Linked DNA regions of Drosophila melanogaster. The protein of the gene in region 1 interacts with the protein of each later gene in a pairwise test. Each region holds a gene or a part of one and is shown on either strand. Other genes may lie near its edges.

The links.
Region 2: the proteins of Pex11c (region 1) and CG8861 interact in a two-hybrid assay, tested with the Drosophila melanogaster proteins (one large-scale study listed by BioGRID).
Region 3: the proteins of Pex11c (region 1) and CG30472 interact in a two-hybrid assay, tested with the Drosophila melanogaster proteins (one large-scale study listed by BioGRID).

Annotation. Positions count from the first base shown.
Region 1 is NT_033777.3:23,257,131-23,261,163, reverse strand, and holds Pex11c (peroxin 11c), read right to left. Parts: upstream 2,285-4,033; 5' UTR 2,255-2,284; coding exon 2,183-2,254; intron 1,488-2,182; coding exon 1,123-1,487; intron 1,063-1,122; coding exon 1,003-1,062; intron 944-1,002; coding exon 736-943; 3' UTR 562-735; downstream 1-561. Other genes in the region: wda (will decrease acetylation), read left to right, coding at 3,165-3,323, 3,384-4,033.
Region 2 is NT_033777.3:9,325,512-9,330,364, forward strand, and holds the start of CG8861 (uncharacterized protein), read right to left. Parts: upstream 3,001-4,853; 5' UTR 2,931-3,000; intron 1,821-2,930; 5' UTR 1,510-1,820; coding exon 1,177-1,509; intron 1-1,176. Other genes in the region: CG12951 (uncharacterized protein), read right to left, coding at 3,765-4,067, 4,130-4,492, 4,683-4,814.
Region 3 is NT_033778.4:15,422,685-15,425,962, forward strand, and holds CG30472 (uncharacterized protein), read right to left. Parts: upstream 1,456-3,278; 5' UTR 1,372-1,455; coding exon 1,000-1,371; intron 941-999; coding exon 817-940; intron 760-816; coding exon 617-759; 3' UTR 501-616; downstream 1-500. Other genes in the region: Stacl (Stac-like), read left to right, coding at 33-212, 286-411, 1,575-1,721.

The sequences.
Region 1 (4,033 bases):
ATACTTCGTACATCTAAAGAGCTTACCAATGGAAGCAGTCAAGCAGAGCAAACTAAAAACGATAATAACTAAAAAAGTAATTGTTAATATTTATGCGCTTGCGACGGCACACAAACACAAGCAAATAAACTATGTACAATGAAAATATATTTACTAACAAATGTTATTTTTAACCAAAGCCATAGAGGTCAGATCTTGGGCTCCTGCCCGACCAACTGATCTGGTCCCTCATGTAATCTATAAATCCAAATATTTAAATTGAAACCATGCATAACAAGTATTATATCAGACATATGAGTATTTTAAATATGCCTAAGACACATTGTATACAATGACTGCTAAACCGACAAAACAAATCGTTCTCGTGAACGACAAATAATACGAATAACTCTGGTAAATGAACCCTCGCCAGAGGGCTGACAATATATGTACATTAAGTTAAACATTCTGCTGGCTAAGAAGGGAATTAACAATACACAAACTGACATATACATGTATGGGAATCTAAAAACACACAATAAAAGAAATAACAGATAATAAAGGACACACAGACCAAAAACTCATGTTTTTTACAATTATTCAGCGTGTATTTTGTGCTACTTTAAAGGACATACTGGCTAAACACACTTTCGAGTGCCGTACAAAAAACTCAACGTACAAAAACGATTACCGACTAGCTTAAAATTCTGTTCAACAAATACGAGTACACGGATTGCAAATACAACGGCGGACCGACTACTTGTTCAGTCTTCTCTTGGCAAAGATCTGGTAGATGCCCAGGCCAGCGGATAAGGTGCCAATAGCACCCACCTGCAGGGTGGACAGCTTGCCGCCCCACAAATATCCTTTCGGCAGCGTGCTGACGGCGTGCACAAAGTCGAGTGAGATCCGAACGATGGACACCATCTCCAGGCGGTGCTTGGTCAACGTTTTCACATCCAATCTATGGATTTGGAAGGTTTGTTAGCTTTTATTGGATGTTTTCGGCTGACGACCACTTACTCGTTTATATTATTCGTTCGGTTCAGCTTTTCCTGATTCAGTGAAAAATTCCGCATTGTCCTAGAAGATGCAATTTAATTTGAAAATTCAAAGCTGACGATTCGAATAATTCTTCTGTACCTCATGAGGTTCAGGTACACCGAAAGCACCCAGAATATGGAGTTGACATTGTCCCAGTTATCCGCATTCTTGACATCCACAATCTTGTGCTCGGCCAGCCAGCACACCTTCTCGATGGGATAGTAGAGCAAATCCACAATGTTGGCCGTCACTCCCAGCACTTGCATGACGCGATCGGGCTCATTCTCGCCCAAGCCATACTCCAAAGCATATTGGATCATGGGTATGTCGTCGATGAGACGCAGTGTGGCTCTCGCACCTGAGATCCTTGAGCTGGCGGTGGCGTATCGCTTGGCTAGTTCCGGATTCCGCTTGGCATGGTAGCCAGCCACCAGTTTGGCACTGTAGCACAATGCCTTCATCACCTGAAATAGGTATTTAATTTCATATATGTAATAATTGTTCTGCGCAATTCGTTAAGCCGTGTGTTTGCTCTATCACGAGAGTTGGCATCGCTGTTTACCTTTGCCTCTACCTGACCCCAATCGCCAGTCAGCCCTGCAATTTGTGGAATTGCTTGGTTGTCACAAACAGATAAAATACTATCAGCGATAAAAAGAATACAACGAATGCCACAATCATCTCGTGTGATGGCCGCCAGTGGAGTGCTCCTGGTCGTCCGTCCTGGCCGGAATGAGTTGTGGGTGGTTTCATTGTTTACCCATTAATGGTTCAGTTTGCTTGCTTTGCCATCAATGAATTAGTTATGCAATTCGGAGGAATACTAATGTCGCTATACGACTAATTTATGTAAATATCCTATAGTATTTCCAAAGTTCGTGACCACCCCATTCGCTGTTTACAGCCACATAATATATTATATTATATTTTCAAATGGTTATCAAGTATAACAAATTATTTGTTCTAATTAATAAATCTAAAATACTTTGAACAATATTTTATCGTATTCAAGGTTCGATTTTTCTATTAAAATAGAGATACACTATACAAGATTCCCTCTTTGTCTGCACTGTATACACCCCTTGTAGGGGTATATAAACTCGCGATGGTGGAAATGTGTGGATCGCGTGTCTCCTGATGGGCGGCAGTCCAAACAAACCTTTCGTTCATAACGAATTATCCGCTTTATCTGGTAGCGGCTTAAAGGTTTGCCGGCTATAGTATTGAGCATTATCTTGACTCGATCGCCGCCGAACTGCGACTGATAAGCGAAAAGCGAAATACAAAATCCATTGCGAATCAGAAAGAAGTAAGGCAAGGTCCAAACTGCTGTGGCTTCCTTGTTCGAGACCCAAAGACCAATGCCAACATCGATGCAGCAACAACATGGAAACCTGTTGGTTCAGTTTCGATTTCAAGCGAGCCCCTCAATGGACCAGTCCAAAAAGGAAATAGAAACCAGTCAAAATGCCACGATGCATTTTTTTAAATTTGCGCATACGAATTGGGAAAAACACTCGGTTCAAACGTAAACAAACAGGTGTGTTTTCAATTAATTGGAAATTTACTCGGCTGTGCGGCTCTTCTATGTTACCTTATCTCGCCCGCCATAGGAATCGATAATATCACAGAACTCGTTCACAAACTTTGTCGTGGTGCCCATAATGGCTCGTTTTTTGAAGACCAGGTACTGTTTTATATCACGTAAAAACTCGAACTGAGATACCGCAGCGAAAATACAAGAAATTGTCAAGAGCGCTCGGGAATCCAACAACACAAACAGCTGACTTTCTTCAGTGGTGACAATAGCCAAATAAACTAGCTAAGAATAGAGAATATAATAGAGCTAAAAATAAAAAGCTAGTTAATATAAATAAAATATAATATAAATATAAGTTAAAAATGTAAAAATAAATTTAAAATTAAAATATTTCAATATCAATATTGTTATAAAAGAGAAGCCAAATAGCCATCACTGACGAAAACAATTTTGAAAGAACAGCTGTTGCAGCCGCTTAAAATCGATGAATGCACATCGATAGGACAACCCATCTCCGCTGTCAGCACTATAATCGAACGCATATCGGACGCACTGCAGGACGGGATCAGGATACGGAACAAAGCGAGGCTAACACGCAACGATGAGCCTGCCCAGCGCCAGCAACCACGCACATGCTGCATCGCCCGTCTACAGCAACAGCAATAACAACAAGTCGAGCGCGAGCAGCAAAAAGACCTCCTCCAAAAACGATTTGCTACGCTGCGCCGTGGGACTCCTGCTGAAGCAGAAAAACTACGTGGTAAGTGAATAATCTTCAAATATACAATTCCTCAGAGTGTTCAAATATTCAAACCCGTAGAGCAACGAACGATTTCGGCGGTCGGATTTTTTGCTGCTGCAAAACAAACAGCAGTTTGCTGTCAACAAAATGCTGGATACGGATTTGCACGGTGGCAATAGCTTCACCTTTTCAAATGTCCAGGTTATCACCAACAACCAGCACACTGTGGACCAGCAATTTGGTCGGTTTTCGCAGTTCGTGGAGGCCCAGGCCGAACCGCTGCGTCTGGAAATGAAGCGCTTTTATGGACCCATGCTGTGCCACTTCTATCTGGATCTGCTCAAGGCTCGCGAACCGCGTGGCGCTGTGGAGTTGTTGCGCAAATATGCTCACTTGGTGGCCCCCGTGGATATGTACGATGCACCACCACCTACCAAGATCAACGGATGCTCCACTACGGCCAATGAGTCCACTTTTAACATACGCTTCGCAAAGGAAGCCCAGGACACTGGGGACACGGAACTGGACTACTTTATGCGCCTGGTGCAAACCCTGAGTGGCTACACACGGCTGGAGGCAGCAGAGTCCGATGACACAGTGGCCCATTTTCGATCTTCGAAATACGAACTACATACTACAGCCGTAGTTGTTAATAGGATATGCGCTTATCTCCAACGACGGGGCCACGTTTTAATTATGAACCTACTCTACACCTGGTTGCATGTCCA
Region 2 (4,853 bases), about 14 Mb from region 1:
CAACGCCGCCTCATTTTGTGTTTCATGCAAATTGGTACACAGCGCGTATACGTAGCGCAATCACGAAAAGATGTGAGTCGTTTTTAATGGCGCAAAGCTTTTACCTAGATGACTCAGATGGTGGGCTATAATGATCTAATGAGTTAAGTTATTCAACTCATTAAAAATAACAATTAACAATTTTTAAAATTAACAAACAGTAAGTATCCTTTTAAAACGTTGTTAAGTGCAATGCAGCCAAAACCAAGCTTTAGATCTTAAAAACCTTAAAGCAATTTGAAAAATTTATTGCTCTTAAGTTATAAAATCAGCAACCCGATAAAGGAAAGTCCTTGGTAATTACTTAACGACAATATGTTTTTGGGATTAAAAGTCCCATTTGATTTTCTTCTAAAGCTGCTGGGAAATAAAACCAAATCGATGTGCTCACAAATCTCAATCTCCCTGCAAATTCAAATGATTCACTTTGTTTTTATAACCAATTTATAGTTCCGTTTTTTTTTTTTTGTGATGAGCACTGGAAACAAAACTGTGACAACAGCAGAACTGCCAACGATATTACTTCGTAAGAAATATACAGAGATAATGCCACACAGAACACACACAATCAATATGGGTACGGGAGAAAAACAATAAAATGGAAACATCAACTCGAGAAGTCATCGATAGATGGATGGCAGGAAGGAAACGGAAAGGGACAGGAGGAGCAGGATGGGCAGGAGGATAAGGAGGAGCTGGTGGACTATCGCTGTTTGCCTCTTGGTTTGCCTTTTTTTTGCTCGCCCGGACAATGACAACAATGAGTAGCAATGAACCAAAATGAATGAGTCTATAAATAAATGAATGCAGCGTTTCAATTTCGGTTCAATTGGTCCGAAGCAAAGACAAAAATAAATAAGAACGAACGAACAATTCCACCAATAATGGTAAGCAATGAAAAACCTGCTATCAACGAATTTATACAATTGATCAAAATTGTATTTTTCAATAGTTTCTTACGGAAAAAATTGATAGGGACTTCAAGGAATTTCATAAATTCAAGTTGAAGCTCAATAATATTCTAGGCTTTTGCAGTATTTAACTTGATATTTTGATTGAAAATTTCAATCATTTTGCAATACAATAGATTGAACTTGCTGATATTTTCAGATCTTTGGGGTTAAATGATGGACTCACCACGCAGAACTTCTCGCTCTTCTTGGTGCACTCCTTCAGGTAGAGATGGGCAATGTCCGTGGTGTAGTTGGTGCAGGGCGTAATGGAGCCCACGCCCTCGTTGTACTGGCCGCACATGTGGCACTTGAGCCCGTCGGCGAATCCCAAGCTGCCGCTGCACAAGACGATGGCCACCAGAATGGCCAGCGTTTTCACATGGTAGCTGGACGCAATCGATCCTGGGGCTGATGAGGATGTTGAATGCATATGCATTGACGGGGCCTTGTCCTCGTCCACGTTCACCGAGTTGACAGCTGCTTTTGTTGACATTGCTTCTTGGTTGCCGCTCGACATTTTCATATGAGTTCTGACCTTTACCGCAGAGTTCACACTCACTAACACACTGGCACACACACACTGGCGAGTTGGCGAACTGGCGAACTGACAAATGGGCAGAATGACGAACTGACAAACTGCACTCACTGAAATCGCAATTTTCACTTTGTTCCTCTCAGTGGAATCGTTCCGCTTTTTGGAAGACTTTGTTTCTACTGTTGTTAGTCGGTTAATATATTAGCTTAATTGTTGTTTTCGTTTATTTATATTGCTTAAAGGGTTCTGCCAAAGATCTTCGACGATGTTCGTGCTAAAATTGAAATATTATACTATTAAGGCAATCATTTCGTGTTGTAGTTGTGTTATTTCTACAATGCAAAATTCCTTTTCAATGTAGTCAATCAAAATTTATTTTTTAATGAGAAATTTTATAACATTTTCAGAAAGGAGTGACAACTATTGCTGTTTTTTTGCAGCTCAGGATGTCGCGTAAATCACAAAAGCCTTCAATGCTCTGGGAACTTTTGTTGCATGCACCTTTTGTTTGGAATGTTACAAATTGCCAGCAGATGCCACGCCCAGCTTTCCATCTTTTTTTTAGCCTATAAGCATGTAGGCCACGACCGCACGGGGCCACACGTTTTTCTCGAAACTCGAAAAATTGTTTTCAAATTGCTTTTGTTGTAAGTTAAATGCGCGAATGCGAGTGTGTTTGTGTGTGTGCGTGCGAGGCGGGGGAGGAGGGAAGAGGTAAAGGGGTGTTTAAAAGAACTTTTCTATGCGTTCAGCGTTGAGTGTTTCCACGAATTTTTCCGAAAATACTTTGAGGAACGGCAGGAGCCAAAATCGTATTACGGATCTCATTGTGTTCTTTTGTTGCCTACTTTTGGGCTTTGATTTGATTTGCTGAAATACATATGAGGCTCCGGGGGAAAACTGGGTAAAACTGGGTAACTGGGGGCTGGATCAATTTGGGGCTTGCAGTTCTGCTCTTTTATTCCGCTCGAGAATCAGCAATCCCTAGTATCACGCATACGCCGTGTGGCCCTCGCAGTGGCAGCAGCAGCCAATTAACAAGTCATTTCTGTTCTTCCTTTTTTACTTGTTTCTGTTTTTTAATTAAACGAATGAATGCAATGAGTTTTGGTCCGTCATAATGGGCGACCTTCCGCATTCGGTGCTATGGCAAATGCAATATTTTTTGCACATTTTTGGCCGCCTCAATGGCAAGCGTAATAACACAAAAACAGCAGAAACATCGTCGACATGATCTTTGGATTTGAATAAATAAGAAAAACTGTGTTTTATGCTCTTCAAAATATTTCACAAGCGTTTGTATAAATTGCTTTTTCATGAGATTTCAATCGAGATTTTCGATTTATGTGTTTTTTCTTTTCTTTTACACTCTGAATTCAAACACAAAACTAACGGACACAAACTTTTGAATTATTTCAAACTGCGTCCGCCAAACCGTGCGTTCCGTCTGAGTTGAAAATGTTGACTGCAGTGCCAGAAGTTGAAACCGCGGCCGTAGAACCATCAGCATGAAGAAGCATCCGCAGCAGCAGCAGCAGCCGACGGGGCGGATGAGCGATTCGATTCGGGTCGGGTGACTTCGTATTGGTCCAGTGACCCAGTGCTACTCAAACTGTTTACTTCTTCATTTCAGTGCTAATGAAGGTCGGCAGCACAAATATTTGTAGTCGAGGGAGTTGCAGCCATCCCTAGACCATCGAAAACCGTAATAAGGGTGATGAAATGTATGGTTTTCATTGGCACAGAAAGTACATAGCAATCCAGTTGGAAGCCGCTTAATTCTTTTGTTCTTACTATTAATGTACTCGTAAAAAGTAAAAAATAATTTAAAAATAAATCAAAATTCAATTCGTCCCTAACAATTAATATTACGTTAAATTATAAATGCGTACAATCATTTTAAATTACAGTTTGATGAATACCAGAACCTAGCGCCAATTTCAACTACAGTTTGATGAACACCATAAGTCCACCAAAGCACTGCTTTGCACTGCTTGCCTAGTGATAACTAAAACCACTGCTTTGGCGCCAAATCAACGTTGTTTCATTAGCAGCAATAGCAATATGCTAATTTTATAGTTAAGAATATAATTCCTAAGATTTGTGGCCCCTTAACGCCTTTATAATAATGGCACAGATAATTTGCTTATCGCCCCCCAAGGAACAGGTAAATACTGCCAATCTGATTATTTATTAAGTGCTTTAATTTTCAATTTATTGAACAATATACTTTGTGACTAAGCCGATATGATTTGGTTGCTTTTGATCCAGTCAACGTACTGGCTAACCTTACAGTAGACACCCGGATAGGGAGCCACGGTGCAGGGCTTAATGCTCCACGACACGATGCCCACTTGCTGGCCATTGTAGATGAGGGGTCCGCCCGAATCTCCACTGCACTGTCCCTTTCCTCCTTCGTCTACTCCTCCGCATATGTGATATTTGGGATCCGTTTGGCCATTGTGCCGGCTGGTGCACTCTTCATCCGAGTAAATCTTCAGGGAAACCTCCTGTAGGGTGTCCTGCACACTTCCATAAGTCTAGAAAAGATCACACTATGAAATAATCCTATTTAAAATCATATTTTCCAATCGAAACCCACATCATTGAGACCCCAACCGATGAGCACTCCTTCGACTCCAGCATCCGATTGAGGCACAGCAAAAGCCAGAGCTGGCAGTTCCACCGGGGCCACAGAGACGCCATCGAACTCAAAAGGTTCCTCCACCATCAGCAGCGAGATGTCATTTGCATTTTGGCGAGTGGGATCAAAGTCTTCGTGCTGGATTATCTTCTTTATGCCCACCACATTCGGACCCATGGCACTAATATTGGTCACTCCAAACTGAATTGATAGGGTATCCGCAGGTCGACCATTGGTGCAATGAGCAGCGGTCATCACAAAATGTTTTGAAATAATAGAACCACCGCAGGAATGCGAGCCATCGTAGCTCCTTAGGGATACCTACGATTTGGAACAGAAAATATAGTATCTTGACATTATTAATTAAATATAAATAATATTTAATCCGAAAATACCAGAAATCCGTTGATTAAGTAATTGTCCTCATTTGGGACACTTCCGGTATATTTTAATCATATATCCTATTTGTATACTTTTTTTAAGGATTATATTTCACTTAACATTTTCTTACCACGAAAGGATATTTCAGCACACTGGAGTCCGTACCATTGACCACCCTTGATATGGAAGGCGCGGCCTGACCAACCGTAGTTACGGCCAGGATAACGATTAAACTCAGACTGAGATCTTGATTCGACAACATATTTGGCCAATAAATGGCACCCCCTGGTTGGCTACCGCT
Region 3 (3,278 bases), on another chromosome or scaffold:
AATAATGTGTCCAAATCATAATTTTTCCGCAGGCCAATGACCAAGCTAAGCGGTACAACAGTCTGAGCAACCAGTGCGCAGCTGTCTCACCTCAACAGGATCTAGTGAACTTCGTCCGGCTCCTGGCCCAACCATCGCAGGCCCAGAAGATTCCCAGACGGCTCTTTGCATCGCCGCAAGCAGAGGTCGGCGAGGAGGCGGGCGACCACAACGTGAGTAGTAGTGCATATAACACCTGTCCGGCGGACTAAAGTGATTGTTTTTGTGGGCACCTGTCCGCCGCAGGAGATGACGCCCTGCCTGCGGAACGAGTTGGTCTTCGACCGGCACTCCACACTGTCACAACGCTCCGCGTTGGAGTCGCTGAAGCGGGAGGCCATCGAATTGGAATTGCAAATACGTCAGCTGCAGGTGAGATGAATAATCCACAATAATACACAAAATGATAAAAGCTCACAGTACGATATCGCAGCCATGTCGGTACTTAAAAAAAATGGTTTGTTATGTTTCCAAAGATTTTATTTGAATGGGTGGCCAATATCACAATTGTTTTTTTTTTCTGTTATCCTTTAACTTTCACAAAAAACTATGTAAAGTCATACAATTAAAAAACCGCTTATATCTGTTCGGTATTCTCGATAGAACTGCACTCTTTGCCATCTGAAGTGTGCATTTCGGTGTATGAGTTACACTCATCTTGCTTGTCTTGGAATTTACAAATTAAAGATGCGACTATCAATGTGAAATAGCCCTCCAGAGCTGTTAGAGGTTATATTGTTTATTTTTTTTGCAATGACTTCACGTTTTGGCACTTACTCAATGATGGAACTATTAGAAAAGTTTGTGCAAAATTTGGGTTCCTTAAGTTATTATTTATATTCGATATGAGAGTGGTGAATACCGTTATATAAATCCAAAGAAAGAGGCAAACCTGGTGGCCCTTGACGAAAAAGTATGGGTATTAGCCTTTATATTCGAATACCATCTGTTGACTCTCACCCATTTGCTTCCAATTAGCAACAGCAGAGAATTGAGAACAGTAACCAATCCGAGTCCCATGCAAAAACGATTACTTGTATGATAAAGCAACATTCTTTTGATTATTCCTTCCCTATCGATTTTTGTGATCCAAAAGGGATCAGGTATCATATAACTTGGCACTGATTGATTGGATAAACGATATATACTGAATATCTGTATTACGCTCACCAAAGCCTCAAAGCCCGCTATAATCCTGCATCCTTTTTCCAAATCGAAAAAGTAGAAGAAGCTCTTCAATCTTGGGAGGGCCTTACAATTGAGCCTTATGTTGTTCCAATGCTGATTTTCCGAAATGCGGCGATTTCCTTGGCAATTCTCATTAGAAGACATTTTCAGGAAATTGCTTTTAATGATAGTTAAATATATGTTATTTGGGGTATTGCCTATGAAAGCTTTTAACTAGCCTTCTTTTACAAGTAGATCTATAATATTACAAATACATTTTATTCTTAAAAATTGTAAACTTTTACAAGATCTATTACAAAAATATTTATTTAAATAATCAATTTGACTGGTTACTTTTCCTCTCGTAGGACTCCATCGAGGCTCTAAATCGAACGCAGACCCGTGGAATCGAGGGTCAGCTGTACAACAAGGTCAATGAGCTTCAAGAAGATTTGTCCATGAAGAAGTTCGACCTGCGAGCCAAGCAGATCCATTTGGCGGCCATAAGGGCTCAGGTGAGTTTCGATTTAGTCGGGGTGAAAAGCTATAAAGTTTAGCGGGAAAATATACCACGATAAAGCTGGAAAAGCAGCAAAAGAAACCACTTCGAAGTTAAGTTTATGCCATGGAAAAGCTTTCACTTAGCTTTCCACAGACCTGTTGCTGACAGCTTTTTGGGTGAACTTTTCATGGCCGAGATCTAATGAGTTCCATTAGGCGGGGTCGGGACGCCCGACACGCCCCCCGTTTGCACGCTTGAAAGTACAGATGAACTGGCGCTCGTATGTAGGTCAAACAGCTGATTGGCGACTGCGCATGTGACCCAAGCGTTTCGCCATCTCCCTCGCTTTTTGGAGCACTGAAAGCCGCCAGCAGGAGCCAACTGTGGGTCAGGTTCGTCCTTCGCCTTTCGCTTAGTCCTGCGGTAGATTAGCTTGTGCGTGGTCAGTGCGGCTGTTTGGCTTGATTTTGTCCTGCATTTGCTAGGTCCCTGTTTTTTTTTTGCGGTCCTCACAAGAGAGTTACTCAGTCAAAATTACACCGTGTGCTGTGCGATTTTCTGTGTTTTCTGGTGTGACAAACTATTACTGCGTGGGAGTTTGGGAAAAACCATCAGGCTTTTGACTGTAACCTCAACCTCTGGGCCTGCAAGTGAATCAGCTGTTGCCGAACAGGGCTCGGAAAAGTCACTTCAGAGAGAGCAAGAGAGAGACAGAGAGTGAGAGAGAGAGAGAGAGAGAGAGCGCGCGCGGAAAATTGCATGCGAAGCGTTGCCAGACATTCGAGCCATCTCCCGATGTAGCTGTTTATAAAAGCAGCGTGCAACGGTCGCTCCGAGTCAGTCACGTGCTTGCACTTCGACGTATACGTAACGCGGCTCGCCAGCTCCGCTCTTGGGTGATCCGTTCGACAAATTAGCCGTAGCCGTAGTGCCGTAGCCGTAGCCGTAGCCGTACTTCCGCAGCCGTATCCGTATCCGTAAACGCGCCGTCGTCGTCGTTTTTCGTCGCGACTGAGGTGCGATTGGCTGCCAATCGCGCAATTGGAGGGGCTAGCTAAGAAACCAATGCAAACGAAACACAAACCTTAAATCCAAATAAAATTGAAATATATTAATATATATATATCCCGAAAACAGACACCATTCATATATATATATATATCCTCCTAATATATATGCATAATTTTAGAGCGCAGTTCAGGGCAGGCTTTTCTAGGCGAGTTGTTCTCTATTTTGATAGCCACACACAAGATAAATTGAATTGAGTGCAGCGCGTAAGTAACCAAACGATGATCAAAATAGTAATGCAACCAACTAGTCGACAGTCCATGTAAAATAACTTAGCTTTATTAACCAATCACGCATACGCACCGTGCGCCCAACGAATTCGAATCAAAAAACAAATAGAAAAGAATATAAATAAACAAAAAACGAATTAATGTAGCACTGCCAGAATTACTTCAAATCTTTTGCCTGCCTTCTACAACAAATTTCTAGCCAAGTAGTCGAAATTCGTGGCCAAGCGCTTAATTTCACCAATCAGAAGCTAGTGCAAACTAATGCCAATAAA